Linked DNA regions of Callithrix jacchus. The protein of the gene in region 1 interacts with the protein of each later gene in a pairwise test. Links are inferred from orthologs where the notes say so. Each region holds a gene or a part of one and is shown in the gene's direction. Other genes may lie near its edges. The genes, in order: LDOC1, LENG1, PEG10, RAB29, TNNT1, CTNNBL1 and ZBTB16.

Evidence for each region.
Region 2: the proteins of LDOC1 (region 1) and LENG1 interact in binary tests that used the Homo sapiens proteins (3 or more experiments, as listed by UniProt). The two-hybrid records come from large-scale screens. The link is inferred for Callithrix jacchus from reciprocal best matches to the Homo sapiens genes LDOC1 and LENG1.
Region 3: the proteins of LDOC1 (region 1) and PEG10 interact in binary tests that used the Homo sapiens proteins (3 or more experiments, as listed by UniProt). The two-hybrid records come from large-scale screens. The link is inferred for Callithrix jacchus from reciprocal best matches to the Homo sapiens genes LDOC1 and PEG10.
Region 4: the proteins of LDOC1 (region 1) and RAB29 interact in binary tests that used the Homo sapiens proteins (3 or more experiments, as listed by UniProt). The two-hybrid records come from large-scale screens. The link is inferred for Callithrix jacchus from reciprocal best matches to the Homo sapiens genes LDOC1 and RAB29.
Region 5: the proteins of LDOC1 (region 1) and TNNT1 interact in binary tests that used the Homo sapiens proteins (3 or more experiments, as listed by UniProt). The two-hybrid records come from large-scale screens. The link is inferred for Callithrix jacchus from reciprocal best matches to the Homo sapiens genes LDOC1 and TNNT1.
Region 6: the proteins of LDOC1 (region 1) and CTNNBL1 interact in binary tests that used the Homo sapiens proteins (3 or more experiments, as listed by UniProt). The two-hybrid records come from large-scale screens. The link is inferred for Callithrix jacchus from reciprocal best matches to the Homo sapiens genes LDOC1 and CTNNBL1.
Region 7: the proteins of LDOC1 (region 1) and ZBTB16 interact in binary tests that used the Homo sapiens proteins (3 or more experiments, as listed by UniProt). The two-hybrid records come from large-scale screens. The link is inferred for Callithrix jacchus from reciprocal best matches to the Homo sapiens genes LDOC1 and ZBTB16.

What each region holds. Positions count from the first base shown.
Region 1 is NC_133524.1:138,057,555-138,061,264, forward strand, and holds LDOC1 (protein LDOC1), read left to right. Parts: upstream 1-1,560; 5' UTR 1,561-1,690; coding exon 1,691-2,128; 3' UTR 2,129-2,965; downstream 2,966-3,710. UniProt on the Homo sapiens protein: May have an important role in the development and/or progression of some cancers.
Region 2 is NC_133523.1:47,340,372-47,344,909, reverse strand, and holds the start of LENG1 (leukocyte receptor cluster member 1), read left to right. Parts: upstream 1-1,639; 5' UTR 1,640-1,662; coding exon 1,663-1,794; intron 1,795-2,841; coding exon 2,842-3,021; intron 3,022-3,932; coding exon 3,933-4,195; intron 4,196-4,538. Other genes in the region: voltage-gated chloride channel TMC4, read left to right, coding at 181-311, 408-563, 820-898, 993-1,061.
Region 3 is NC_133512.1:54,928,988-54,932,803, reverse strand, and holds part of PEG10 (retrotransposon-derived protein PEG10), read left to right. Parts: intron 1-372; coding exon 373-1,573; coding exon of another isoform or gene 1,574-2,721; 3' UTR 2,722-3,816.
Region 4 is NC_133520.1:33,292,826-33,297,307, reverse strand, and holds the start of RAB29 (ras-related protein Rab-7L1), read left to right. Parts: upstream 1-1,433; 5' UTR 1,434-1,499; exon of another isoform or gene 1,500-1,929; 5' UTR 1,930-1,931; coding exon 1,932-2,055; intron 2,056-2,068; exon of another isoform or gene 2,069-2,276; intron 2,277-4,482. UniProt on the Homo sapiens protein: The small GTPases Rab are key regulators in vesicle trafficking. Essential for maintaining the integrity of the endosome-trans-Golgi network structure.
Region 5 is NC_133523.1:48,010,435-48,014,937, reverse strand, and holds the start of TNNT1 (troponin T, slow skeletal muscle), read left to right. Parts: upstream 1-1,493; 5' UTR 1,494-1,545; intron 1,546-4,394; 5' UTR 4,395-4,405; coding exon 4,406-4,437; intron 4,438-4,503. UniProt on the Homo sapiens protein: Troponin T is the tropomyosin-binding subunit of troponin, the thin filament regulatory complex which confers calcium-sensitivity to striated muscle actomyosin ATPase activity.
Region 6 is NC_133506.1:33,215,036-33,218,851, forward strand, and holds part of CTNNBL1 (beta-catenin-like protein 1), read left to right. Parts: intron 1-15; coding exon 16-88; intron 89-327; coding exon 328-386; intron 387-1,862; coding exon 1,863-2,011; intron 2,012-3,816. UniProt on the Homo sapiens protein: Component of the PRP19-CDC5L complex that forms an integral part of the spliceosome and is required for activating pre-mRNA splicing.
Region 7 is NC_133511.1:13,736,413-13,740,725, forward strand, and holds the start of ZBTB16 (zinc finger and BTB domain-containing protein 16), read left to right. Parts: upstream 1-1,503; 5' UTR 1,504-1,672; intron 1,673-4,313. UniProt on the Homo sapiens protein: Acts as a transcriptional repressor. Transcriptional repression may be mediated through recruitment of histone deacetylases to target promoters. May play a role in myeloid maturation and in the development and/or maintenance of other differentiated tissues.

The sequences.
Region 1 (3,710 bases):
CTTATTTTACTTGCCAAACATTAATGAAGCCTTGGCTCTGGGCCAGAATTTTTCTAGGCATTAGGGATACAGCAGGTAGCAAAGGCAGTGTTTCTTTGACACATATATTGCAAAATAGAAGCAGATGATGAGCAAAGTGCTATTTGACATGTTGGCCAGTAGCACAGTAAATGTTATGTAGATAAATGAAGCAGAGTCAAGGGTTAGAGATTGGTGGCAGAGAACAGGGTTCTCTGATAGGTCCGGTGGCCAGAAAAGTTCTCTTTGAAAGCAGTAGGTGAAGGAGTCAGGCAGCCAACTGGGACAAGTCTTGCAAGGCAGAAGGGGTAGAAGGTGCAAAGGCTACAAAGCCAGAACTACTTGACGTGTGTGAGAATCAGCAAGGACAGTGATTAGAGCATAGCAGAAAATGGGAAGAGGCATAGGATAGAAGGAAGGGCTTTGTAGACCTTGGCTGCAACTTTGCTCTTTATTCTGAGATGAAACTTGGATGATTTTGAGCAAGGGAGTGAAGGGATCTAATTTTTGTTTTAAATGATTCCCGTGGCTACTTTATGGAGAATATACTATAGGTAGAAAAAAGCGAAAGCTAAGTGATTAGTTGCAGCAGTGTGTGAGAAAGAAAGGCTGGGTGGGGATCAGGGTGGCAGTGGTAGAAATGGCAAGACATGATTGAATTGGCAATATATTTGAAAGCAGAGCCAATAATTCATGATAGCTCTAGGATCAGAGATCCATTTAAAGTAGAAAAAGAAAATTATTTATAAACACTCACATCTTCACAGTTCATTTTTAAGTAGAGAATAATACCCAGTGGCCAATGGCACTAGTAGCAGAACAAGAAATAGAGAATAAAATGTGTGGGATGCCTGCAATTGGTTATCGGATGCTGATTTTGCAGAACTTTTTATATCTTGCTATTTAGGTTTTTTTTTTTTTTAAGGTAGGTATATCATATTATTTCCCAATTAAATAAGTCACTGTTTAAATACTGCCTTTTTCATGAAAGGCAGGACCCCCTGAGGGTCTTCATGACCCTGAAAGGAAGTGTGACTTCCACAGTGCAGCCAGCAGTGTCAATACTTCGCTAAGTGAGATTTAAACAAGAAAGAAAATGTGTTAATAAAACATCGCGCCAAGAGAATTTAGTGGCCACAGACCCACGAAGGAACACTGAGTTGTGCGAGTTGGCTAGGTAGAAGAGTGGTTAATCTTTTCAGCTTGAACAAGTGTACCTTCTCTGAGACCGGATTCAGCGCTCGCCAGGTCCTCTGCTAATTCAGGCCCCACATCCAGGAGCTCTGACAGCCGACCGCAGCCTTTAACTGCCCGCCTAGAGGGCTACGACAAGCCGGTGGTTCAGCAACCCAGCGCATCCTAGTCCTAGCCAAGCCCTGTGTGTCTACACTCTTCCCATCCCGGCCACGCCCCCACGCTTCCGCGGCCCCTCGCCTGGCCACGCCCCTCCCGCGCCGCGCCGGCGCACCGTCCGTCCGAAAGGCCGCGTGGGCGGGGCTTGCGTAGCCTCCCGGACTCCGGCGCGCACCGCACCGCCCCCCCGCCCCCCGCCCCTGGCCCTCGCGCGCCTTGGTGGACAAGCACTTCCTGCGAGGCCTCCGTACGCACCTTGTCCGAGCCGAGCCGCACCGAGCCGCACCGAGCCGAGCCCTGTACTTCCAAGCCGTTCGCCATGGTGGATGAGCTGGTGCTGCTGCTGCATGCGCTCCTGATGCGGCACCGCGCCCTGAGCATCGAGAACAGCCAGCTCATGGAACAGCTGCGGCTGCTGGTGTGCGAGAGGGCCAGCCTGCTGCGCCAGGTACGTCCGCCAAGCTGCCCGGTGCCCTTCCCCGAAACGTTTAATGGCGAGAGTTCCCGGCTCCCCGAGTTTATCGTGCAGACGGCGTCTTACATGCTCGTGAACGAGAACCGATTCTGCAACGACGCCATGAAGGTGGCATTCCTAATCAGCCTCCTCACCGGGGAAGCCGAGGAGTGGGTGGTGCCCTACATCGAGATGGATAGCCCCATCCTAGGTGATTACCGGGCCTTCCTCGATGAGATGAAACAGTGCTTTGGCTGGGATGACGATGAAGACGACGACGACGACGAAGAGGATGATTACTAGGCCTTAGACCCTCAGGCCTAGCGGGGAGGGCCCTGCACGCCGCCACCCCCTCTCTCCAGCCCTCACCCCGCCGGGAGCCACTGTTCTCCGCCTTGCCCTCTGGTCCCCTTCCCTACTCGCGCCCTTCAGTTCTCTCTCTTCGTTTCTCCGTAGTGCTTGTCTTTGTTCCAGGAATAGTGCTCCATTTACCTGCTGCTGGGGTTGGGGCTGAAGCCTCACTCACTCGGAAATGCTTGGAAGTGTCATCTACCCTGGCCAGCCCCTGAATCCCTCCCCTGCTAATCCGAACTGTGTCCTGAGCCCCAGTTATTGGCCATGCCCCCATTATAAATTGGTCATACCACCCATAGCCCTGCTGCTGCCACCTACCCTACTGCCAGGCTTACATCTGCCCAGAGAACTATGCTGCCACTTCACATCCACTCACCACATCCCACCTACATACTACCGCCTTTCGAAGTAAGGACCAACCTGGAAGATGCCAGAGTTGGCTATACCTCTTCGGACATTGATTCGGACAGCTCACCAACCCATGAAGGGGCCAATCATTCAGCCTGGTTAGTTTTCTACCCACTCTGAGGGTCCTCCCATGCCCCACCAGATTGCTGCAGGGGCTTGGTGTGCCTGGCAGCCAAATTGTTGACATTTCTTTTTTCCTATGCATTGGTTTTACACAGCTGTCACTTTACTTTCAAAATTGCAGCAGTCCCCCAGATGTGTGCATTTGGACAAATAATACTAAGAACAAAGCAAGCACTCAGCCCAGCTCCTCAATACTACCTGGAAAAAGCATTGGCATTATTTTCAATAAATATCAAGCACTACAAAAAAAAGAAATGATTGTCTTTTAATGGTTAAGTGCTGTCACTGGCCTCCAACACTGTCACTCTGTCTACCATTATTCCCATGGAAATCAGGGTTCCCCGCTGTCATCTCCAGGCTGTTGGCGACAGCTACCTCAGGGCTCTGTCAGTGTTCTGATGTTCCCTTCACCAATGTATTTCATAAAGCCCTGGCAAAGGGTATGTCCTCTGGTTCCTCCAGAATGGCATGGGTAAGGCTTGGCTGAGCAGATGGCAAAGAGGCAGTATTAATAATTAGACCATAACAACAGTCATAAACCTGGAAGAGGGGGGAGAGAGAGAGAGAGAGATGTAATGCTCCCAATTATCTGAGCTTTCAGATTCCTTAACACTGTACCAGGGAAGTTCTGCCCCTTAATCCTTATTGCCTATGTGTAGCTGCTGAGTTCAGGCTCCAAATAGCCAACATAGTATATTGCTTTTATGTCACTCTCAGATGCTCCAGCTAACATTAAATCCTGGATCCTGGGCACGTGTACCCATAAAGATAAACCCTGATCTTAACAAATATTTCTGCAGGGCGCGGTGGCTCAAGCCTCTAATCCCAGCACTTTGGGAGGACGAGGCGGGTGGATCACGAGGTCAAAAGATCAAGACCATCTTGGTCAACCTGGTGAAACCCCGTCTCTACTAAAAATACAAAAAAATAGCTGGGCATGGTGGCGCATGCCTGTAATCCCAGCTACTCAGGAAGCTGAGGCAGGAGAATTGCCTGAACC
Region 2 (4,538 bases), on another chromosome or scaffold:
GGCAGGAGAATTGCCTGAACCCAGGAGGCGGAGGTTGCGGTGAGCCGAGATCACGCCATTGCAATCCAGCCTGGGTAACGAGAGCGAAACTCCGTCTCAAAAAAAAAAAAAAAAAAAAAAAAAGGCAGGAGGCACAGACCGTTGTTTCAGATCCCCTTCCTCTGTGCCTTCCCCTGCCAGCTCACCCTCTTCTTCACCTGCTCTCCGGCTGCCCGCACGTTCCGGGCCTCCACAGCGAATTTCTTTTTCCCCCTGGTCCTTCTCCTGGGTCTGGCCATCTCCAGCGTTCCTCTGCTTTACAGCATCTTCCTGTAAGTGCGAGAGGCTCCTGCCTCTTTCCCTCCCTCTCCCTGCGTTCAGCGTTCAGACTCCTGGCTCTACGTGAGCCCAGCCTATCTTGACTTCAGGATCCCACCTTCTAAGCTATGTGGTCCATTCCGGGGGCAGTCGTCCATCTGGGCCCAGATCCCTGAGTCTATTTCCAGCCTCCCTGAGACCGCCCAGAACTTCCTCTTCTTCCTGGGGACTCAGGCTTTTGCTGTACCCCTTCTGCTGATTTCCAGGTGAGTTTGCCCAGACTTCTGGGTCTGGGTTTGAATGCACGTGATCTGGGGGCCACCACCTGCGTCGGAGAGAGGAGAGGCTCGGGGTGGGAGGAGGCCTAGGGTCCAAAGGAGGAGGAGGAGGAGGGTGGGACTTAGGACTCCTGGGCTGGGAGACTGAAGTCCTTGTAGATGACATCCTGGCTTTGAAGGAGCCAGGGGTTTGTATAGAATGGAGGAGCGTGTCAGGAGTGGCTTCTGTTCGTGTCTCCTCCAGCATCCTGATGGCGTACACTGTGGCTCTGGCTAACTCCTACGGTCGTCTCATCTCTCAGCTCAAACGTCAGAGAGAGACGGTGAGCCAGGCGGGTCCCTGAGAGGGACCCCGTGGGGGACATTGAAAGGCATTGGGGGAGAGGGCTGTCTGACCTCCACCTCTCTTTGCCTCAGGAGGCGCAGAACAAAGTCTTCCTCGCACGGCGCGCTGTGGCGCTGAGCTCCACCCACCCGGCTTTTTGACCCCTGCAGCCCATGTCCCACCTTCAGACTCCAGGCCAATTGTAAGCCTAGGTCACATCTGTAAAACTAGGAGAACTAGAGAAGACCCCACGCTCTTCCAGCTCTAGGATCTGGAGGTTTCCAGAGACCCTCGCCGCCACGTCCCAGACTCTCGGGTGATCTTTCTTCTATGAATAAACACAGCCGAGGTGACTGAGCGCGCTTTGAAATCTGCGTCCTGAAGGTGGGGGCAGGGCTACATCAGGGCGGGAGCCAATCAAATGCATGGGAATGTGTGGCCGTTCGAAGTGCTCTTCCGCAAGGAGACTTGATGGTTGTGTTGGCCAATCGGCGGCCGAATCTGGCATTAGGGGAGGGCCAACTTGCGATTGGCTCGGATATGTGAAAAGCGGTTGCTAGGGGATACCACGCGCCAAAAGCCTGGCATTCGCTGAGATAAAGGGCGTCTTAGCCAATCACCTGTCGTTACAGGCCAGGGGGCCGTACCAATGAGTTAAGAACCAATCTGTGGTCGAAGTAGGGACAAGAGGGAAGGGGCATTCTCTCGCCAATCGGAAGTGCAGAGAGGCGGGCGTGCCAGTCCGTGGACTGCTACGACGCCATGAATATCTTGCCCAAGAAGAGCTGGCACGTCCGGAACAAGGACAATGTTGCCCGCGTGCGGCGTGACGAGGCCCAGGCCCGGGAGGAAGAGAAGGAGCGTGAGCGGAGGGTGCTGCTGGCTCAGCAGGAGGTAAGCCTGGGAACCGGCCGGGCGGAACTCCGGGGCCCAGCGCGCAGGCGCCATGGTAGGGGGCCGGAAGTGGACGCGTTGCGCAGGCGCCGTGTGCCCCGTATGTAATTCGTGACCCGGCGCGGACCTCTTTTCCGAAACGTTGCTCGGCAAACGTTGTGCCCACTTGCATGAAATCTCCCTTGATCGCCCCCTCGTCTTGTTTCCCCCCACTGATGTATTTCACATGGCTAGAGCAGTGTCTAGCACAAAAGAGAAGCATAAATGTTTACCGAATTCAGGATTCCTTGGACAGTTTGAGGAAATTCGGATCACTTTCTAGTTGGCTTGCACAGTCTATTTATTGAGCAGTTACTGTATGCTAACTGCATGCAGAACGCCTGACTTCCAGAATCCCCCTTAAGCACCGTTCTTTCTTAAAGAGGCATTGTCATCTCCGTGGCACGAAGTGAGATGGCGTCAAGGGAGGGGAAGTCTCCACCCCCTTGGGCGAGCCCTTTCCCTGCACCACCCCCAGACACACACACAAACATGGGCTTTATGTATAGCTCCTTAAATCTGTTTGGTGTACACCTAACTTTCAGTTCCTTAGCCAGTCTGATCCTCCACACTGGGAGGGAGGTAGTCTGGGTTTTTAGAATCTCAGTAGGCTGCTGAGAGCTTTGTCCTGAAGGTGGGAGACCGGGCTTCATCAATGGACTTGGGGTAATGACTTGGAGCCATGCCTGGAATCCAGATCATCTGACCTAATGCAGTTTGTTCTACCTTTATAGCTGTTTTAATTGTCTCACTTGAGGTTAGGAACCCCTTTGGTTTAGGCCAGGGACCTCCTCCCAGCCATCCTTGATGTGTGGTTTACTATTTGAAAGGCAGTTTACAAAACCCAGGTGTTGCCTTATCTGCCTACCCTCACCCCTGCTAGGACAGGTGCCCCCTTTCTTACAAACCCAGCACCCTGGACTGCTGTTTCCTGTGGTGCGCACCAGACTTAAAAGTTCTTGAATTACCTTTAGGTTTTTAATGTCTTGCCTGTAACTTTCTCCCCAGGCCCGTACAGAATTCCTACGGAAGAAAGCCAGACATCAGAACTCACTGCCTGAGCTTGAGGCAGCAGAGGTGGGAGCCCCAAGTTCTGGCCCTGTGGACCTGTTTCGAGAGCTGCTGGAGGAGGGGAAAGGCCTGATCAGAGGCAATAAAGAGCACGAGGAAGAAAAGCGACAGGAGAAAGTAAGCTGGCCTTATCTACTTCATCAGAGACATGAATGGAGCTGGGGGGAGGGACACTTTAGCCATTGGTTGTGACTAAGGCTAAACAAGAGTGAACACTCAGAATTTAGAACCATACCAAAGCACACTCAGAAGTGGTGGCTGTTGCCATTTGGGTGCCCTCAGGGCTTGGAGGTAGATGCTCGAGATCCCCAGCTGCTAGGTGAACTGCTCAGGTCTCCAAACTGGAGGGGTCTCAAACCTGATGAGCTTTTAAAAATCTAAATCAGCTTGGTGGTGGCTCATGCCTGTAATCCCAGCATTTTGGGAAACTGAGGTGGGCAGATCACCCGCGGTCAGGAGTTCAAGACCAGCCTGGTCAACATGGTATCTCTACTAAAAATACAAAAAAAGTTAGCTGAGCATGGTGGCATGCACCTTTAGTCCCAGAGGCTGAGGCAGGAGAATCGCTTGAACCCAGGAGGTGGAAGCTGCAGTGAGCTGAGATCGTGCCACAGCACTCTAGCCTGGGTGGCAAGAGTGAGACTCAATCTCAGGAAAAAAAAAAAAAAAAAAGTGAATCAATCACTTCTTGCCTTTTGGCTAAGATCGAGTGTAAAAGCTCCTGTTCCTCACCTGCTGTCTCTGGACTTGCTGACCCCACCCACGGGTCCTCTTGCTTTGCTTGCTCCCTGCAAAGATGCCTGCCTCTGAACATTCAGGCAGCTCCACCCCATCCCCTCCTTCCTCTGCTTTCTGTGACTGTCCCTGCTATCGTCACCCCAGGGCAGGAGCTTGGCCTCTGCTGGTCTCTTCCCTCCCCAGCACCTGGCACAGCTGCTTCACCATAGGCCTTAGATACCTGTGTCAGGGAGATAAACCTGACACCCTGAAAGATTATATCCCATCTCTTTTATTTCCTGACCCCTCAGGAGAGACAAGAGAAAGCTCTGGGCATCCTGACATACCTGGGCCAGAGTGCAGCCGAGGCCCAGACTCAACCCCCTTGGTACCAGCTCCCACCAGAGCGAGGGGGTCCCCCGCCTGGCCCAGCCCCAGATGAGAAAATAAAGAGCCGCCTGGACCCTCTGCGGGAGATGCAGAAGCATCTGGGGAAGAAGAGACGGCACAGCAGTGATGAAGGCAATCACAGCAGAAAGGAAAAGGATGGCTCTGAGACACAGCGACCCAAGGGGTGAGGAGGAGGACCCTGCCCTGGCAGAGCAGGACCCAGATCTTCAGGGCTTGGCAGCAGCCTGGCACAGGCACAGCAGGAGCTCTGGGTGGAACAGCCAGGGACCCCGTGAAGGGATGGCTGGGTGGAAAAGTGGTTCTCACCATGTGGTCCAGGGAGCCCTAGGGGTCCTGACTCCCTTTCCGGGGGGTGCCGTGGTGTCAAGCCTATTTTCCTAACACTGTTTGCCTTTCACACTCATTCTCAGGCAGGTAGTGCAGCTTTCCAGAGGCTACATGATGAGAAGACACCCTCACTGTGATGACTAATGGCAGATACTTATGTCCAAGTTTTCTTAGTTTTC
Region 3 (3,816 bases), on another chromosome or scaffold:
TTGATTTGGTATCCATGTTTGCCTTGAAGTTTCTTTGCCTTGAAGTTCTGTTTCAATAGGAAACTACTTGTTTAGAGGCCTTAACATTCTCTTATAGTTTATAAAGGTAAGCATGCTGTTGATAATATATTATTGAATCATAATCAACAGGTGGTCTTTGAGAAGGACAAGGTCATTTGAACATCAAAAAGTAGTTTGCTTTTTGTATGGTGCTGATTGATAACTTCCCTTTGAGAGTTTGTTTTTGTTTGTTTGCTAATTATTAAAGTAAGCACATAGAACAAGGGATAATATAAATATCAAATCCTTTGTGTCTACATTTTGCTGCTTTGAAGGTATAAGTTAGATTTATATGTTTATCTTTATTTACAGAAATAAGCGCGTTTTGAAAACAAAAAAAAGAAGGAGTGGAAGAGGGGGCCAGGATCCAGGCCTCCATCCCCACAGAAGTGAAGTTACAGCTGGGAGGTCTCCTCCCACCCCAACCGTCACCCTGGGTCCCGACTGCCCACCTCCTCCTCCTCCCCCTCCCCCCAACAACAACAACAACAACAACTCCAAGCACACTGGCCATAAGAGTGCGTGTGTCCCCAACATGACCGAACGAAGGAGAGATGAGCTCTCTGAAGAGATCAACAACTTAAGAGAGAAGGTCATCAAGCAGTCTGAGGAGAACAACAATCTGCAGAACCAGGTGCAGAAGCTCACAGAGGAGAACACTACCCTTCGAGAGCAGGTAGAACCCACCCCAGAGGATGAGGATGATGACATCGAGCTCCGCGGTGCTGCAGCAGCTGCTGCCCCACCCCCTGCAATAGAGGAAGAGTGCCCAGAAGACCTCCCAGAGAAGTTTGATGGCAACCCAGACATGCTGGCTCCTTTTATGTCCCAGTGCCAGGTCTTCATGGAAAAGAGCACCAGAGATTTCTCAGTTGATCGTGTCCGTGTCTGCTTCGTGACAAGCATGATGACCGGCCGTGCTGCACGTTGGGCCTCAGCAAAGCTGGAGCGCTCTCACTACTTGATGCACAACTACCCGGCTTTCATGATGGAAATGAAACATGTCTTTGAAGACCCTCAGAGGCGAGAGGCTGCCAAACGCAAGATCAGACGACTGCGCCAAGGTATGGGGTCTGTCATCGACTACTCTAATGCTTTCCAGATGATTGCCCAGGACCTGGATTGGAACGAACCTGCACTGATTGACCAGTACCACGAGGGCCTCAGTGACCACATTCAGGAGGAGCTCTCCCACCTCGAGGTCGCCAAGTCGCTGTCTGCTCTGATAGGTCAGTGCATTCACATTGAGAGAAGGCTGGCCAGGGCTGCTGCAGCTCGCAAGCCACGCTCACCACCCCGGGCGCTGGTGTTGCCTCACATTGCAAGCCACCACCAGGTAGATCCAACTGAGCCGGTGGGAGGTGCCCGCATGCGCCTGACCCAGGAAGAAAAAGAAAGACGCAGAAAGCTGAACCTCTGCCTCTACTGTGGAACAGGAGGTCACTATGCTGACAACTGTCCTGCCAAGGCCTCGAAGTCTTCACCGGCGGGAAACTCCCCGGCCCCGCTGTAGAGGGACCTTCAGCGACCGGGCCAGAAATAATAAGGTCCCCACAAGATGATGCCTCATCTCCACACTTGCAAGTGATGCTCCAGATTCATCTTCCGGGCAGACACACCCTGTTTGTCCGAGCCATGATCGATTCTGGTGCTTCTGGCAACTTCATTGATCATGAATACGTTGCTCAAAATGGAATTCCTCTAAGAATCAAGGACTGGCCAATACTTGTGGAAGCAATTGATGGGCGCCCCATAGCATCGGGCCCAGTTGTCCACGAAACTCATGACCTGATAGTTGACCTGGGAGATCACCGTGAGGTGCTGTCATTTGATGTGACTCAGTCTCCATTCTTCCCTGTCGTCCTGGGGGTTCGCTGGCTGAGCACACATGATCCCAACATCACCTGGAGCACTCGATCCATCGTCTTTGATTCTGAATACTGCCGCTACCACTGCCGGATGTATTCTCCAATACCACCATCGCTCCCACCACCGGCACCACAACCACCACTCTATTATCCAGTAGATGGATACAGAGTTTACCAACCAGTGAGGTATTACTATGTCCAGAATGTGTACACTCCAGTAGATGAGCACGTCTACCCAGATCACCGCCTGGTTGACCCTCACATAGAAATGATACCTGGAGCACACAGTATTCCTAGCGGACATGTGTACTCACTGTCTGAATCTGATATGGCAGCTCTTCGAGATTTTGTGGCAAGAAATGTAAAGGATGGGCTAATTACTCCAACAGTTGCACCTAATGGAGCCCAAATTCTCCAGGTGAAGAGGGGGTGGAAACTGCAAGTTTCTTATGATTGCCGAGCTCCAAACAATATTACTATCCAGAATCAGTATCCTCGCCTATCTATTCCAAATTTAGAAGACCAAGCACACCTGGCAACGTACACTGAATTTGTACCTCAAATACCTGGATACCAAACATACCCCACATATGCCGCGTACCCGACTTACCCAGTAGGATTCGCCTGGTACCCAGTGGGACGAGACGGACAAGGAAGATCACTGTATGTACCTGTTATGATCACTTGGAATCCACACTGGTACCGCCAGCCTCCGGTGCCACAGTACCCGCCGCCACAGCCGCCGCCTCCACCACCACCGCCACCGCCGCCTCCATCTTACAGTACCCTGTAAATACTTGTCATGTCCTTCAGGATCTCTGCCCTCAAAATTTATTCCTTTTCAGCTTCTTAATCAGTGACTGTGTGCTAAATTTTAGGCTACTGTATCTTCAAGCCACCTGAGGCACATCCTCTCTGAAACGGCTACAGAAGGTCAGCGCCACCCTGGACTGGCACACATCCTAAAGCACCAAAAGACTTTCAACATTTTCTGAGAGCAGCAGAGTATTTGCCAACGAATTATCTCTCAGTTTTCCACCTTGACTACCAATCTAAAATAATTAATAAGTTTACTTTCCAGGCAGTCCTGGAAGTCTGGGTTTTACTTACTAAAACCTCTATCATCATCTAAATTATAGGCTGCCAATTTTCTTGTTTAACATTTACAGAGAAGCTGATACAAATGCTGATTTCTTCATGGAGGGGGAGACAAGGAGGAGGAGGTGGAGGAGGACATGACTTTTCTTGCAGTTTCAGTACTCTCTTTACATCACTAGAGGACCGAGTCCTTATTAAGGAAGCCAAAACTATTGGTGCAGTGTGGAAAGGCTTCCGTGATCATCCTGCTGCACCCTTAGAAACTTCACCATCTTCAAACTCCATTTCCATGGTTCTGTTAATTCTCAAGGAGCAGCAACTCAACTGGTTCTCCCAGGGGCAGGCAAAACCCTTGCTACATGAAACACCTCAGGCCCTCTCAGATGGACTCTTGTATGTTAAGAGTGTGCCATCACATCGTGGTGCAAATCGCATGTACCCAAGGACTCTGGCTTTGACACACACCTTACCATCATCATGCCATAATGGCTTCCACAAAGCATTAAACCTGATAACCAGAGATTACTGGTGGTTCCAGGGGTGTTAGAGGTTTGTGAAATGTGACCACCTCTCAATCACCTTCGAAGGCTAAAGAGTGGCAGATCAAAAGGACTCCAAAATCCCTTACCCACCTTTTAAGAGACTTGTCCTGGTACTTCAGAAAGAATTTTCATGAGTGTTGTTAGTTGACTGGAAAACCACCAGCTGACGTTTTGGAAGTATCTATCCATGTGTCTGCCTCCATATGCATCTGGGCATTCCATCTTCAGTCCCTTCATTAGACTGTAGT
Region 4 (4,482 bases), on another chromosome or scaffold:
GAATCTGAAGTCTACATGGAGGGAAGAAATGATGAGTCCAGTGACAGAAATAGGGAAGCTGAGAAAAGGAGCTATTTTTGTGGTGATGTAATAAGAGGGAGGATGTGACCGGACATCCAGGTGAAGGCATCTTTTGGGAAGCTGAATATCACTGATCGAAGATAAAGAACAAATAAAGTGAAGATAGATCTTTCACACCAAGGACAATTCACTCAAGAGTTTGTAGAATGATTGTCTCAGAGACCAAGAATCAAGCTTTAGGAAACACTTAGAGGGAAATGGGATGGAGAGAAACCTCAGAGAAAAAGATAATCATCAGAGAAGTAGGAGGATGAAAAAGAAAGAACAGTGTCCTAGAAGGCATATGGGAAACAAATGTCAAGGAGTGGTCAGCTATGTCAAAGCAAATAGCAACAGAGAAAACTGGATCCTTAAAGGTGAGTAGCCTGGCCTAACCTCCTGTGCCTGGGCAACAAACATTCTGGGCAAAATATATTGTGGACCATGCTCATGCTCTTTCCCCACAGAACATAAGTGATAGCCTCTCTATCAAGAGACCTAAGCAAGACTCCATAGTGTCTGGTCCTGGGCTGTTCACATGGCCTTGCTGGTTCTCTTCCTCAATTCCTAGAAAAAGTATAGAAAATGGAACTCTCTTTGCTTGCCATTGAGCTCATGTCCTGCCAACTCCTACCTAAATGACAGGCAGGTCAGTAAAGTTACAGGCTGAGAAATTAGAATTATTTGTCAAACCCTAGTTTTATGATGATCTGTTAACAACAGCCACAACAAATCAGCGATTCCCAGTGTATTTCAATTAGCTTCTAGCTCAAATGATACATGAATAGCATGGTTAGAACAGGCATTGTAGAAGTATGAATGGGGACTGTCTTCTGTTTTCTGTCTATCTTTATTGTTATTGCTGGATATTAAATGCTGTAACTTTTGGCATAGGTTTTTCCAAGGAATGGTCTCTTGGGTCAAATTTCCCTGATCTTGCCTGGTATTGGGCACGTTCATACGGAAAATATGATTAATTTCACGAGGTCCTGGGCTTGTCTGTCTATTTGAAGGAATAGGAAATGGACTTCACTTGGAGCATTATCTATGATGCTTGGGCTTTTATTAATGAAATAAGTTTTAATCTTAACTACGCAAAACCTTTAAAGACAGGAGAAAACTGTCTGGGGACAGATTCAGGCCAGTGAGATCACGTTGCACAAATCTCTTAAGGGATCTTTACTGACCCAGAACCGTTTCAAAATAAGATTCCGAACTGTTGAAGGAGTTTGAAGCCCTGAAACATTGTGTAGGTTGGTTTAAAACAAAAAAAATGAATACACTACATTTCCTAGGAGGCTTCGCGGGTAAGCCTCTGCACTCGGCTAGTTCTCTCTACCGCGAGGATAGTTGGGAAATGTAGTGCTCCAGGCAACCCTGCACGTGACGCTTGCGGAGGAAGGCGAGAGAGGCGCGGGAGGGGGGTCAAGGGAATCAAGGTGCCGGCTGCTTTTTCCTCACAATTTGATTTGTGCAGCAAGGGGAGGGTCCTCATCATCTGGCCCCAGTGGTGTAATGAGCTGACTGGGATTCAGTTGCTGGCTTGGAGCCGCTCCGGGGAAGTCCCGGTGGGTGAGGTTCCGCAGCGCCTGGTCCCGTTTCTCGGCAGTCGGGTAGGGGGGTAGGGGGGAAGGTGCGAACAGCCGGGGCACGGAGCTCGCGCCCTGCGCCCCACCCAGGTTGTGGCTGCCCGGGGAGGAAGCGCACATAGGTTGAGTGCAAAGTTTCCTTTTTTGCTTTCTCGTCAGAGCAGCCCTCACAGGCGGTGGGTGGGAATGCCTCACTTCAGTTTGAAGAGGGTCCGGAGCCAAAGGGGTTAAAACAAGCTACTTCCCACTTTCCGCCTCTCTAAAACGCACACTCCGCTAGCCATGGGCAGCCGCGACCACCTGTTCAAAGTGCTGGTGGTGGGGGACGCCGCAGTGGGCAAGACGTCGCTGGTGCAGCGATATTCCCAGGACAGCTTCAGCAAACACTACAAGTCCACGGTGGGAGGTGAGACGTCTCTGGGGGGAGGAGTCGGAAGAGGCCCCGACCGCGGACTCGAGCTGGGGACCCAAGTGGGATGGGGATTTGCAGTCGGTTGTTGGGTCCTTCGGGCCAGGAAGTAGTGTCTGGGAATCTGGATGGAGTAATTGTTGGGTATTTGGTTTACACGCCTCTCTTGGGTTTCCCCAGTTCGATTTTCCTAACCTGAACCTACTGCCTGGAGAAAGGTAAGAGCTAAGGAGTGACGATGAGAATAGGGAAGGGAGGCTGAGGATGAGCAATTGCTGTTTATTGCGAGCTCACTGTGAACGCAAGTCTCCTGCCTCAGCCTTTCAGCTGTCAGGGGCAAATCTCTCCAGTCAGCAGAAGCAGCTGAGATCCTCTCCTCTGTAGGGCCTCCTGGTTAGCTGCAGTCTGGGGCTGTTGTCCTGCCCCTCTCTGTTGAGGAAGGAACCGCAAGGTGTTTAACCTGGCTTCTGGGGGAGAACGCAGGAAGCAGAAGTGGTCGGAAGAACTTTAGCTCAGTTATGGGGCTGTGGGTGGGATGGAAGACACAAAATCCCCAAACAGGCTCCTTGGCTACGCAGTCAGATGCCCGTGAGGGCTGATGAGCTGTTTTTGTCCGTTGATTGCTTAAATAAAGGTAACCAAGGAAGTCTTCGAAGAATGTGAAATATACCACTTCTCTGATCTATCTTCCCACCACTTTTCCCCTCAAACTGGAGAAGGTAGGGAGGAAGGGAACACCGTCATTTCTTTCTCGGGCGTAGCCTTTGGACTCAACTGTTTTTTCAGAGGTAGAATTGCCTTATTGTTAATTAGAAGGTATTTAGCTAGAAAGAGCTGGTGATGGGGGAAGAGTAACTTAAAATTTTATTTAGGCCTGGCGTGGTGGCTCAAGCCTGTAATCCCAGCACTTTGGGAGGCCAAGGCGGGTGGATCACGAGGTCAAGAGATCGAGACCATCCTGGTCAACATGGTGAAACCCGGCTCTACTAAACATACAAAAAAATTAGCTGGGCATGGTGGGGCGTGCCTGTAATCCCAGCTACTCAGGAGGCTGAGGCAGGAGAATTGCCTGAACCCAGGAGGCAGAGGTTGTGGTGAGCCGAGATCGCGCCATTGCACTCCAGCCTGGCTGCAAAACTCCAGCCTGAGAGCAAAACTCTGTCTCAAAAAAAAAAATTATCTCTGTTAAAATAACTTAAGGGGAGGAAACTTGTACTAATGGAAAAATTGAAAATGTGTGCTCGTGTTCATATGGAAGTTTAAAAAGAAATTAACAAGCATTTACATTGCAACTGAAACATTCTCCTTAAGAACCCCCAGCAGGGCTGGGCACAGTGGTTCACTCCTGTAATCTCAGTACTTTTGGAGGCCAAGGTGGGCAGATCATTTGAGGCTAGGAGTTCCAGACCAGACTGACCAACATGGTGAAACCCTATCTCTACTAAAAGTACAAAAAAATTAGTCGGGCATGGTGGCACACGCCTGTAATCCCAGCTACTTGGAGGCTGAGGCAAGAGAATCTCTTGAACCCGGGAGGCGGAGGTTGCAGTGAACCAAGATCGCACTACTGGACTCCAGTCTGGATGACAGAGCAAAGACTCTGTGTCAAAACAACAAAACAAAAAAACAGTAGGGCCCAGTGAGGTGGTTCATACTTGCAATCCCAGCACTTTAGGAGGCTGAGGCAGGTGGATTACTTGAGACCAGCCATGGGAAACATGGCAAGACCCCACCTCTACAAAAATTAAAGAAAAAAGTAACTGTAGTCCCAGCTACTCGAGAAACTGAGGCGAGAGGATTGCTTCAACTCAGGAGGTCAAGACTTCATTGAGCCCTGTTCACACCACTCACTGCACTGTAGCCTGGGCAACAGAGCAAGACACTGTCTCAAAAGCAAAAGAATAAAGAAATTTACGTCCGGCAAAATTAAAGATTTAACGTTTCAGACGCTCTATCTTGACCACTCAGCCCTCCCACTCCTAAATAACATAAGGTCCCGATTTCACAGATTTGAGTTAAAAGTGTCCTCCTATTAATAGTTAATTTTTAATAATTGCTATAGTTTTCCTTTAGCAAAGAACATAATTAACTCTGGCTAATTTTTTTTCAGTGTTTATTCTAAATTTCCCTTAGCTTTGATTCCTGTCACAGATGTGAAAGATAATGTTTCCAAACCTCAGTAATTACTGTTTCTCTCCTTATCCAAAAGCTTTCCCCGCAGAATACTCACCCAGCCTTAACTCAAGGAGTGTCAGCATTTGCAGACTTGGTGGTAGATTCAGCAACATCCATGCAGTGTCTTCATCCTGGGACTCCTCTGGGACCTTTTCCATTTATTCCATTCTTGCCCAAGATAATACCTGCAAAAGTGTGGATGTAGAGTTCCCCAGGGTGTGTTCTTCTCATAATACAATTTGATTAGAA
Region 5 (4,503 bases), on another chromosome or scaffold:
TAAGAATTTTTATAGGAGGATGCTCCGAGCCAGCACAGTGGCGAGAGCGCTGACAGGCTGTACAGCCACCTAGGCGTGATTATATGGATGGGTTTTAAGCCCTCGGACGTTGGAGGGATTGCCAGCCTGAGGCCAGCTTTCCACAAGAACTCTGCACAAGATACTACAACTCCCTTTCAGGAGGAGTGACTCTTGCTGCAAGCCTGCCATACAGCGGGTGTCATTACCATACCCGAACGCTGCCACCTGGGCAGACCTGCCACGTAGCGCTTGCCCTTTCAGGCAGGGGCTCTACCGCCTGGGTCATTGATTCTTGTCCTGGTGTGGCTGTTTTTCCCTAGTTCATGCTCTGCAGTGTGTCTGCTCTAGACATTCCTCCAACTACAAACTAAGGCATGATTATCTATGAAGAGATTATATATAAAAGGAAATAAGTGAGGAGTGAGCAGTAAGATATTCTTCAGGCACTAATCGTGCCGGGGGTCTGCTTAGCTCTCCTTCCTTGGTGCCCAGAAAGGGGTTACCCACACAGATATGGGGTCTCAGGTGGACAGAAATGCACAGAGAGACTGTGAGCCCCCACAGACACAAACGCAGAGAGGGGCAGACATGCAGAGACAAAACCACCTGGAGACATTTGCCAAGAAACACACTGAGGGTCACGGAAAGAGACAGATTCAGAGACAGCCCAAGACAGAGAGCCAGCGAGGGACCCCAGAAAATGCATAGAAACACACAAAGACTGATACCACAGGAGACAGACACTGAGAGGCGTGAAGGGTGAGGAAGTCTGCTCTCCAGGGCTGGTTGAACCTGGAGTTCAAGGTCGTGGCTTGGCTGGGAAGAGGGAGGGGGATGCCAAAAAAGATCAGTGTCAGATGGACGGGGGGAGAGAGGGTAGGTTTCCACCCTAATTGACACCCCATCCTCCCCTCCCCTCCCCCCAACACCTGCTTCCTGGCTTTAGTGCCTGTTGTCACAAGTATGGAATCCTGGTGGCAGACAAAGGGGTGGGGGTGGGGAGACAGAAAGATGGACAGACACAGGGGGAGACTAAGCAGCAGAGACAGACATATAGAGATACACAGATGGAGAGCCACAGAGACCACAGAAACGGGTCCAGAAAGAGGGAACAGAGAGGAAAACTGGAAACATTCCTTATAGCCTTTTTGTCATTAGTAGGTTCTCCAAGGACCTACTGTGTGCTGGACGTTGGGACATCAAATGCAGGGAGGCAGCTATAAGGGAGGTAGCTGGAGCACCGTGGGGGCCTGGGGCTGGGGGTGGGAGCAGGGCTCCAGGGCCCCGCTGATGGGGTTGGGGAGGAGCCCACGGAGGCATTTGGACCCTTAGTTTGAAAAACGAGAGGAACAGCAGGGCTGTCTCTGAGCTCCCAGACTTGTGTTTGAGCAAAGGAATTCTCTCCTCCTCCCTCTCCCCTCGGGGCGGGGCCCAGCCTCCAGCTATAAAACCCCTGGAGCTTCAGTGCCCGTGGTGAGGCTCAGCCACAAGATTCACAGGATCTCAGACGCAGCCTAGGTATAGGTAAGGGGCTCTGCTGGGCCCTGTGATCTCCACGGACGGTGTCCTTGGGAGAGGGGGCAGGAGGCAGGTGGGGAAGATGTGGGGTGTGGAGAAATCATGCAGAGGTACATGGGGAATACAACTGGAGGTCTCGGAACTTGAGAGGCTCGGACTTTAGGGGGACTTGGGATAGAGGGGAAAATATTAGGATTTGTGGGTTACAGAGATCCTAGTCTGGGGCTGCCAGGACTTGGGTGTCCCAGAATAAAACCACCTAGATCTTGGGGTTCTGGGGGTCTTGGGGGAAAGCTCAGAAGTCAGGGACATCTGGACTTGGAGGTCAAACAGTCTGGGTATCAGGATTTGGGGCTCAGACTCTGAGGGTATCAGGAATTGGGGCGGGGTCTCAGAATCTGGGGTTTTAGGAGTGGAAGCCTCAGAATCTGAGGTTTAGGATAGAAACCATCACCACCTGGAGTGTCATTATCTGGGGCGTCATCATTTGGGCCTCCGAGTTTGGGTATCAAGGTTTTGGGGGGGTCTCATATTCTCGAGGCTTCAGAATTTAGGAGGTCTTAGGATGTCCTGGCCCATATGTGGACCATCAGGAAATGGGCTGTCAGAATCTGGAGCTGTGAGGACTTGTGGTCTCAGAAACACAGGCACCAAAAATCCAGGTCTCAGAATCCATGGGTATTGGGATTTGGGGATGGGCACCCTGTGGCCTAGGATGTCTTGAAGACTTCGGGGTCTAAGAATGTAGGGGTCAGAGTGAGGTCTGTGGACAGAAGGTGCCCTTTGGGCGCTGCCCCAACCCCCCCGCCCCGTGTGATGTATGGGAAGGTGAAAGGGGAGACAGGTGGGGAGGAAAGCAGCCAGCGGGAGGGGTGGGTGGGAGAGGGATGCAGGTGACCAGCTCTCCCAGAAGCCCCCCTTCCTCAAATCCCTTCTTAGGAAATGTCCTCTGTTTCACCATCTACGACATCCCCCCAAAATAGCTCCTGGGGGTGGGGCAGCTATTGTCTTCAGGCCACTGTCCCTTCTCAAATGCCTCCTCCTAATCCCAGCTGGATCAGGTTCCCATGGGCTTGTCATAAGACAAAAGAGAACAGCTGTGCTGAGGGGGGCAGGGTCTGCAGCCTCCGGGCTGTGCCTCAGACCACACCTACCAGGGCCTGTCCTCCTGAGACAGCCAGGAGTCCAGACCCCGGCCTCTCCCGCCTCGGAGCCAGGAGTGCAGACCCCAGCCCCTCCCCCCTCGGACCCAGGAGTGCAGACCCCAGCCTCTCCCGCCTCGGACCCAGGAGTGCAGACCCCAGCCTCTCCCCCTTCGGACCCAGGAGTGCAGACTCCAGCCCCTCCCCCCTCGGACCCAGGAGTCCAGACCCCAGCCTCTCCCGCCTCGGACCCAGGAGTGCAGACCCCAGCCCCTCCCCCCTCGGAGCCAGGAGTCCAGACCCCAGCCCCTCCCGCCTCGGACCCAGGAGTCCAGACCCCAGCCCCTCCCCCCTCGGACCCAGGAGTGCAGACCCCAGCCCCTCCCCCCTCGGACCCAGGAGTGCAGACCCCAGCCTCTCCCGCCTCGGACCCAGGAGTGCAGACCCCAGCCCCTCCCCCTCGGACCCAGGAGTGCAGACCCCAGCCCCTCCCCCTCGGACCCAGGAGTGCAGACCCCAGCCTCTCCCGCCTCGGACCCAGGAGTGCAGACCCCAGCCTCTCCCCCTTCGGACCCAGGAGTGCAGACCCCAGCCCCTCCCCCCTCGGAGCCAGGAGTCCAGACCCCAGCCCCTCCCGCCTCGGACCCAGGAGTCCAGACCCCAGCCCCTCCCCCCTCGGACCCAGGAGTGCAGACCCCAGCCCCTCCCCCCTCGGACCCAGGAGTGCAGACCCCAGCCTCTCCCGCCTCGGACCCAGGAGTGCAGACCCCAGCCCCTCCCCCTCGGACCCAGGAGTGCAGACCCCAGCCCCTCCCCCTCGGACCCAGGAGTGCAGACCCCAGCCTCTCCCGCCTCGGACCCAGGAGTGCAGACCCCAGCCTCTCCCGCCTCGGAGCCAGGAGTGCAGACCCCAGCCTCTCCCCCCTCGGACCCAGGAGTGCAGACCCCAGCCTCTCCCGCCTCGGAGCCAGGAGTGCAGACCCCAGCCCCTCCCCACTCGGACCCAGGAGTGCAGATCCCAGCCCCTCCTCCCTCGGACCCAGGAGTCCAGGCCGCAGCCCCTCCTCCCTCAGACCCAGGAGTGCAGACCCCAGCCCCTCCTCCCTCGGACCCAGGAATCCAGAGCCCAGCTCCTCCTCCCTCGGACCCAGGAGTCCAGACCCCAGTCCCTCCTCCCTCGGACCCAGGAGTCCAGACCCTCAGCGCCTCCTCCCTGGGACCCAGGGGTCCAGACCCCAGCCCCTCCTCCCTCGGACCCAGGAATCCAGACCCCAGCCCCTCCTCCCTCGGACCCAGGAGTCCAGACCCCAGCCCCTCCTCCCTCAGACCCAGGAGTCCAGACCCTCAGCGCCTCCTCCCTCGGACCCAGGAGTCCAGACCCCAGCCTCTCCCCCCTCAGACCCAGGAGTGCAGACTCCAGCCTCTCCCTCCTCGGACCCAGGAGTGCAGACCCCAGTCCCTCCTCCCTCGGACCCAGGGGTCCAGACCCCAGCCCCTCCTCCCTCAGACGCAGGAGTCCAGGCCGCAGCCCCTCCTCCCTCGGACCCAGGTGTCCAGACCCCAGCCCCTCCTCCCTCAGACCCAGGAGTCCAGGCCCCCAGCGCCTCCCCCCTCAGACCCAGGAGTCCAGGCCGCAGCCCCTCCTCCCTCAGACCCAGGAGTCCAGGCCGCCCCCTCCTTGGGCTCCCACCCCACCAGGCTCTTCTCTCTTAGGTGGCAGCAGGATGTCGGACACCGAGGAGCAGGAATATGAGGAGTGAGTGCGGCGCTGGGCGCGGGTGGGGCGTGCAGTGCTGGAGAGGCGCCCCCAGCCCGGGTCTGA
Region 6 (3,816 bases), on another chromosome or scaffold:
CCTATTTCTCCATAGGCAAAGATGCCTTTCGATGCCAACAAACTGTATTGCAGTGAAGTGCTGGCCATATTGCTCCAGGACAATGATGGTGAGGCGCCCTCTCAGTATTGATATTCTGTTAGGATAGGAGCCAGGCTTGTTTCAGATCATGACAGCAAGCTCTCTTGCCTTTGGCATCCCCTTGCTCTCCCTCTCGCTCCCTGTGCTGCTTTTGTACTCTGTCAAGCTGTATTGATTTTGTTTGCTGATGTATCAGTGTTAGACGGCTGTAAAATCTGACAGTTAGGTTCATTTTTTTTCTTCCTCTGTTTTTTTCCCCCCTTTTAGAAAACAGGGAATTGCTTGGGGAGCTGGATGGAATCGATGTGCTTCTTCAGCAGTTATCCGTGAGTAATTCTTATGCTTCCTGTCTGCTGCAAGATATATGGCCTGCTTTGAATGGGAGGTGGAGCTGGAAATTGTGGGAAGGAATAAGCCATGTGCTGCAAGCCATATGGAGCATGTTGGCAGGTTTGAGGGTTATATGGAGGGATGTGGTTCGCCTCCTTTCCTTAGTCATTTGCTCTTTATGACCAGACATCACTGTGTACTGGATATGGACTCTCTTTGTCTTCTGATATGATATTGTCAATTCAAAAAAGATGTGCCTCCTGCTTAAGTGTGTGTGTTCTGGGCCAAGCATACCAAATTATTTTCATTTGACCCACTCCCAAGATTATTCACCAACTTTCCTTGCAATCTGCTGTGAAAACGGAGTATGTTCATTTAGGATCCAAATGAGCTCAAGGAGTACAAGTTCCACTGCAGTAGGGTGGGGGTCCAGGGGAGGATATAGGAGAGGATGTGATGCTGAAGGCTGGTGTGAGAACTTGGAAACTGCCATTTTCCAACTGTAAGAAATGTAAATCCAGTTGAAATGTTATTCTGCTGGCATTCTGAAAATACCATTAAGATTTCCTCTTACAAACTTCATCTGTGTTATTCTAAAAACAGGATCGAAAATAGATCACTTGGATAAAATCTTAAGAGTGTTGGGAGAGTCTGAGATGTCAGTTTGCATACAGCTTCCATCTTGGTGCCAGCAGCCTGAGTGGCTTGGCCTCCACCCCAAAAATAGAGCTTTGAAATGTGAATTTGTTTCCAATTCTGGGAATGTGCTTAGTCCTTTTCCTGTGAGATGATTGATCTTCTCATAGTAGATTGTATGGATATGCATCTATGGTTCAAAGGCTTCTGTTAACATGCCTTACATCTCTGGCAAAAGGAAAACTTCTGTAAGCCTTTCCCATGAATTAAAGCCCCAGCTCCCATGTAAGGGAATTGAATAGCCTTGATTGTCAGGAAATGCCTTCTTATATTGAGCCACAATTCACCCCTCTGGATTATGGTTGCTTCTAGAAGGGAAAAATATGAGACATGGTTGGGTTGGGCAAGTGGAGGGCTTTGAGGGTAGTTGGCAAAGTTATTTCTCATCCTGGATAATGGTTTTCGGGGTGTCCACTTTATTCATTTAGTTCTATATGTACTTTATGGATTTTTTCTGTATCTGTATTATATTTTACAATAAAAAGGTTTTGGGTTTTTTTTTGGTTTTGGTTTTTTAAAAAATCTGCTTGCCTGGAGCTGTCAATTACTGATGGACCCGGTGGTCAGTTGAGTGTTTTGGTGGGTTTTTTGCATTTATTTATTATATGTGAATCATTTCATTTCTCTAAAATGGAAACTGATGAGAATTTTGTTTGCTGAGCTTCTGTTTCCTCAACCATAGAGTTATGACCCACAGGTTTTAGAAATGGTTGGGTGGCGGCTCATGAAAAGACATTCTCTTACAGCTCTGTGCTTTGTGGTGTTTTGCTTGACAGGTGTTTAAAAGACACAATCCCAGCACAGCCGAGGAGCAGGAGATGATGGAGAATCTGTTTGATTCCCTTTGCTCCTGTCTAATGCTTAGTTCCAATCGTGAGCGCTTCCTGAAGGGCGAGGGTCTTCAGCTGATGAATCTCATGCTCAGGTATGTTTCGAATACCCTATTTCTCCCAATTTTTTTGCCTCACTTTAGCCTGAATTCAAGAGCATGTAGCTATGGTCATTTATTCTGTTGAGTTTCCTCGACTAAATCCTGAAGAGTAAAGACTTCAGGCATGGGGATGTGTTTATGTATGTATGTGGTCTTTCCTAAATGGGTTTTTTTTTTTAATCCTTCCCATAACGTGTTAGTTTTTGGGAAATCTAGCCATTACTTCTAAACTTGGAGCAATTTTCTGTATATATCACATAGACCTATCTATGCCATATGTTTGTCTGTATTTTTATTGAAAGCAATATATCCTTCATGTTTTTCATTCCTCATTCAGTAATGAGTTGTACATGTGCTGTATGCCTAGCATAGGAAATATGAAAATGTTTAAGATAGTTCTAGAACTTTCATTTATAGTACTTTCCTTATACATCTTATTATTTATAGGCTAATGCCTGAAAGTGGATATCATATTAGTTTCACAGTTATTTTATAGAATCCTAAAGTCAGAAGCAAAAAGGGGAGAGGAAGCTTATATTGATAACTCCTGAGACTCTGTCTAGGAAAGGGAGTAGAGAAGTGTATGGGGGAGGGCTGAGGGGATAACCAGAGTGTGGTGTAGGGTCAAGGGACTTTTTTTAAAAAAAATTGAGCATGTTTATATGGTTGGAAGATTCTAGTTATTATGAAATGGTGCCCTACAGAAGGAGCAGGACTGAGATTTAAAAAAAACAAGAAAGAAGTTGAGCCAGAGTCTGCTGTCTTAAAACTTCAAGCACACTGAGAGTTCTGTTGAACTAAGATATTTATTTGAAAAGGTTTTTCAGAAATGTGACATATATTTTCTAAACAGAATTTGGAATACAAACATACAAAACTTCTATGAAAACATCGATAAGGTACTTGCTAAGGGCTGGGCCTACACAGAAATATGTAAGACAGAATTTCTGTCTCCATGAAGTTAGAAAAACAGTTCTGTGACCCAAACACAGCCTGTCTTTGGGTATATGTTTTCTTCTAGTCTTTTTTCTATAATTTCTACCAATTTTTTAAGCCTGCCACACATACAATTTTCTATATGGCTATTTTGTAAACATCACATGCTGTTTCCCATGCTGTATATAATCTTCATGAATTTTCAGTAACTCCATAATGGCCTTTAAAGGGACTGTAGCTTAGTATTCTTCTGTTGTTGGCATTGAGGATATTTCCAATGTTTTGACGTTATAACAAATTCTACGACCATTTTTATGTTTAATGTTAGGGTTATCCAGGTATAGTAAGTCCTCACTTAACATCATTGATAACATTCTTGGAATCCACACCTTTAAGTGAAATGATATATAATGAAACCAATTTTTCTCATCAATGTTATCACGGTGTTATTTGAGGATCTGACCTGCTGTATCTTGTTTCACTTAAAATTGCAGTTTCTAAGTCTGTCTGTGATGTTAAGTGATGACTTACTGTGTATGTTTCTAAAATATCTTATATTTAAAAGGCTTCTGGAGGGCTGGAGGCACAATAGATCTCTTCATTTGTCCGGTGTGTACCAGACCTTGCATTGACCAAAAGTCTTCCTTTGAGTAGTTGCTTTTAAAAACATTTTTTTTTAAGTGCTAGAGGGACATGAGAAATTACTCAGAGGGCTTTTGTGTTTAGCTGATTTGTGCTAGCTTTGCTCTCTTGAGTCTTCTGTTTGTTTATCTCCCTTGCCCTTCTAATTGCTTGTCCTTTTATTGAAATGACCCACCTTCTCTTAAGTAAATAGCATAAATAGAAGATGCATTTGGCTTCTT
Region 7 (4,313 bases), on another chromosome or scaffold:
TTCCATGACCCTACAGTTCATGGGACTGGGTCTGGGGCAGTGACTTGCCTCCAGTCAGCAGCAATGCCAGAGGCAAGCATGGATATGTGATTCTAGGTGAGTCCTGCGGAAAACCTTTGGCCCACCCACGAGTCATGGACGGAAGCTTAGGCCTGGGTGATGTAAGCTCCACCTTGCTAAAACCGCGTGACCTCGAGGGCTGACTAGCCTGAGACCCCTGCATGGTGTTCTCGGCCACCCCCACCTCCCACCCCAACCTCCTAGGCTTCAGTCAGAATCCACAGCCAGTGCCTCTGGCCCCCTATCTTCACTCAGCTCCAGAGAAAAGCGGGGACAGCAGCTTTCTGCGGTCAGAGGAAGGGTACATTTTCTTTTTTTATTTTCCAAAAAATTTTTTCCCCTTTTTTTACCTTCACATGAGCAGAGGAAGGAAAGGTACATTTTCTTTGGCTGCTCTACCCTCTAAAGTAGGGCGGCCAGCTGAGAGGAGGACGCGCTTCTGAGGGGCCCAGAGCTTTTCCAAGCTTTCCCCTGCCCCCTGAAGACTGTGTGCTGAGCTGGGGGCAGTTCTAGAGAACTGTTTCCACCCAGATTGCTCTGTATGTGTGTGTGTGTGTGTGGGGGGGGGGGGGGGGCAGAGCTGAGAGGTTGTCCAAGACTAGGAGAGATAAAAGTTTCTCAGGACTCGACCTTGGCCTCCAGCAACCGCGACATCTAAAAAGGGGCGTGTCGCTTCGACAGTAGATCCCAGCGGACCTTATGGCACCAGGTTCACCAGGGCCCGCGAATTCTGCATCTGGAGACTTCTTGAAATCCGGATGCTCAAGCCGGGAGGCGCGCAGTAGCCAGAAGGATGGGAAGCCCAGGCTTGGGCTAGGAAAGCGGCCTTTTAAAACTGATGTCAGGGGCCCCTGGGAACGCAGCCCCGAGCCAAGAGGAAGAAAGTTAAAGGCGAGATGACACGCACTGAATTGGGCAAAGATTGGAAAAGGGGACAAAACTGCGTGCTTGAGCATCGGAGTGCGGGGGAGGGGGCACAAACCCGTATCCGATAGAAATTAAAATCCTGGGAGTAGGTGGGGGCTGCTGCGCGCCCTTCACCCTCGGTGCCCCCATTAAGGGTTCCGAGTTCCCTGCACTCCTGTCCTCTAGCTCCCTGCTTTCTCTCTCCTCGGCCGGTGAGCGGCGGCCGCCGGCGCCCCAGCAGCAGCTAGATGTCAGGCGAAGCCCGGAGCGCGGAGCGCGGGGAAGGGAGGGGAGGGGAAAGGAGGGGTGGGGCGGGGAGCGCGCGCGGGCTTGGCCAGTGCGGGGTGGTGGGCGGGCTGAGCCCGGGGACGGCGCGGGAGGGGGGAGGGAAGGGGGGCAGCTGTGGGCAGGGAGCCGGGCTCGGCCGCCAGCACTAAAGATGGAGAGGCGCCGGGGCCTTGCAGGGGAGGGGGCTCGGCGTTGACGTGGGACGCGGCGGAGGCGCAGCAGCCGGTGGTGATTTGCTAACCTCGCAGCAGAGAGGAGTTGAGGGCGATGAGAGCGGGTACTGCGAACTGCCGGGCGATGCCGTCGCTGCCGCCGTGATACGGAGAGCAACAGTTCCCCAGCAACACCCCTCCCCGACACAGGCACACACCCCCCGACAGGCACGCACACCCACCCCACAGTGCCCGGCTCGGCTGCGGTGAGTGAGGGGCCGGGGAGAGGCGCACCGCCCAGCGAACGCCGCGCGCCGAGCCCCCCCGGGGCTGGAGAGGTCTGGGGGGCGCGCGCTCGCTTCGGCCACTCGGCCGCTGGGCTTGTGCCTTTTTTATTTGGCGTGTTCCCTTACTGCCGCTGCAGCCGTCGCCACCACCGGTTGGGGATCGGCTGGAAGGGGGAGCCCCGGCTGTCAGCCTGGGCGCAGCTGCCTCCGCAGCCCTTCCTCTCCGGGGCACGGTCGGGGTGAGAGGTGGGGGGCGTAGCGGTCTGCGGGGGCTGAGGGCGTGAGCAGAGGGTCGGGGATCTGGAGGCTTTGTACTGCCAGGGGCGGGCAGAGGAGCAGAGCCCGTGGGTGCTCTTATGTTTGCCGACCGGTGCGCGGGCGCGAGATAAGGTTGTGGTTTATTTATTTGTGTGTTTATTCGCCGGCCGGCTGGGAAGCTAGAATTGGAGAAGCTGACGAGTAGATGCGGGGGCGGAGGAGAGCAGGACTGGGACGGCTTACGTTTTGTTTCTCTTTGAAAAAACGTGGTGGGCTTTTTCTTGATTAGACTTGATCCCCCTTTTGCAGGGGAGGGAGGGAAGCTCCAGAGGGTTTCCAGCGCTCCGGGCCCTCCTCGGCTCTCGGCGGGACGGGCGGTGACGCCGGAGCTCGCCGTGCGCTCCCGGCCGCTCTCGGTGGGTGCCAGGCTCTGCACCTGATGCGTTCGGGATGCCTTTCCCACCCTGGCGCGCCCGCCGCTCGCTCGCACAGCGCCTCGCACACTCCCGCACGCGCTGGAAATGCGCACGGTCCCGCCGGCCCGCGGACCCACCGAGACGCACAGAGCGCTCCGCACCGACTCGCTCGCCGGCTCCCGAGCCGCTCGCACCGAGCCTGGGCCGGGCGCGCCGGCCGCTAGCGCTGTTGGCCCGAGGCCCGGGACCCAGCCGGTCCCTCCTGGGGGTCACGGCCTTGGGTCGGAGAGGGAGGGCCGGCAGACCCCTTCTCGCCTTTCCTCCCACAACTCGCTGCGGGGCTTTTGTGCTTCCCCTTCGCCGCGGGGCGGGTCCGCCTCCTGCCGCCGCGTAGTCCTGCCCGCCCGGGCTGTGGCTTTTCCTCCCCGTCTCTTTCGCTTTCCCCTGCCCCTAGTTCAGCTCTCCTTCTTTCAGGTGTCTAGCTCTTCGGGAAAAGTTGCTTCCCCAAGTTTGCTGAAGTCGTTTCCAACTCTCGGTGGGGGTCGCTGGGAACTGGGGGCGTGTGAGAGCGCAGTCGATCCTGAGGCTCTGGCGGGTTAGCGCCGGCTCTCCCTGCGCCGCCCGGCTGGACGCTGCAGCCAGCTCCGGCCAGATCGCAGGCGCTGAGCGGTGGGTGGGGAAGACGGCTGCCTGAGGGTGCCCCGATTTCCCTCAGGACCCAAACGGCTTGTTCTGGGGCGCCAAGCATCCATTCTTTTGGCTGCTCTCTCCTAGTTTTCAGAAGTCCCGATGTCTGCGGGAAAGCACGAGGTGGAGAGGCTCGGCTGAATGGTCATCCCACCCTTGGCGGCCTCCATCCCCACCCCGGGGTGGGCAGCAAAAGTGTCTTGATCAGGCGTCCTGTGAATCCTTTCTGTGTGAGCGTGGAGGCTCCTGAACTGATAGAGCTCCTTCTGGGGGTGGAGGCAAGTAAGCAGTGTTTGAAGAGTGAGGGAGAGACCTTGCTGTTCCTTGCTCCCAGTTCATTCACTGCAATATTGGCCGCTGCAAGGCAGACACGGGGAGGGCCCTGGGCCTGGGCGGTCTTTCTAACACTCCTTAAGCGGGATTCGGAGTACAGGAGCCCTCTTATTGATCCTGAACAGGCTCAGGGAGAGGCCTTTGTTTCCCAGCCCTGTCTTCCCTTCGTACTGGTTATAACTCACACCACAGATGCTGGTGCCAATACCACGTCCGGAGCCTCTGAGCCATGGCCAGCATCCCTTGCTGCCCCTGGTCACAGGACTTGCAGACTCCTTGGAGCCTGTGGGACACACGTGGAGTTCACACACCCAGCCCAGCATGAGCACTCCTGGCTGTAGGGGCGCATATTTACTACCGGCTCTCTCCATACCTTAATGACTCATCCTTCTTTGTTTTTTAGATCCTCCTGTCCACTGCTCAGTTATGGGTAGGAGGGTAGGTACAGCACCTTATGTAAGTGTGTGTGTACACCCACTTTTTTTTTTTTTTTTTGAGATAGAGTTTCACTCTTTTTGCCCAGGCTGGAGTGCAATGGCGTGATCTTGGCTCACCACAACCTCCACCTCCCAGTTTAAGTGATTCTACTGCCTCAGTCACCTGAATAGCTGGGATTACAAGTGTTAGCTACCATACCCAGCTAATTTTGGATTTTTAGTAGAGATGGAATTTCTCCATGTCGGTCAGGCTGGTCTCGAACTCCCGACATCAAGTGATTCACCCACCTCGGTCTTTCAAAGTGCTGAACTTAAAGGCGTGAGCCACTGCCGCCCAGCCCCACACATCTTTCTCTTTGTCTCTGGCTGATGTACATATACGCATACAAACAGTCCAGATTTTAGATTACATATTCAATAACTTTGAGTCTTCCGTGGATAGAAATGACCCAAGTTAGTGTGTGGGTTGTGTGTGTGTTCCTGTTAGTA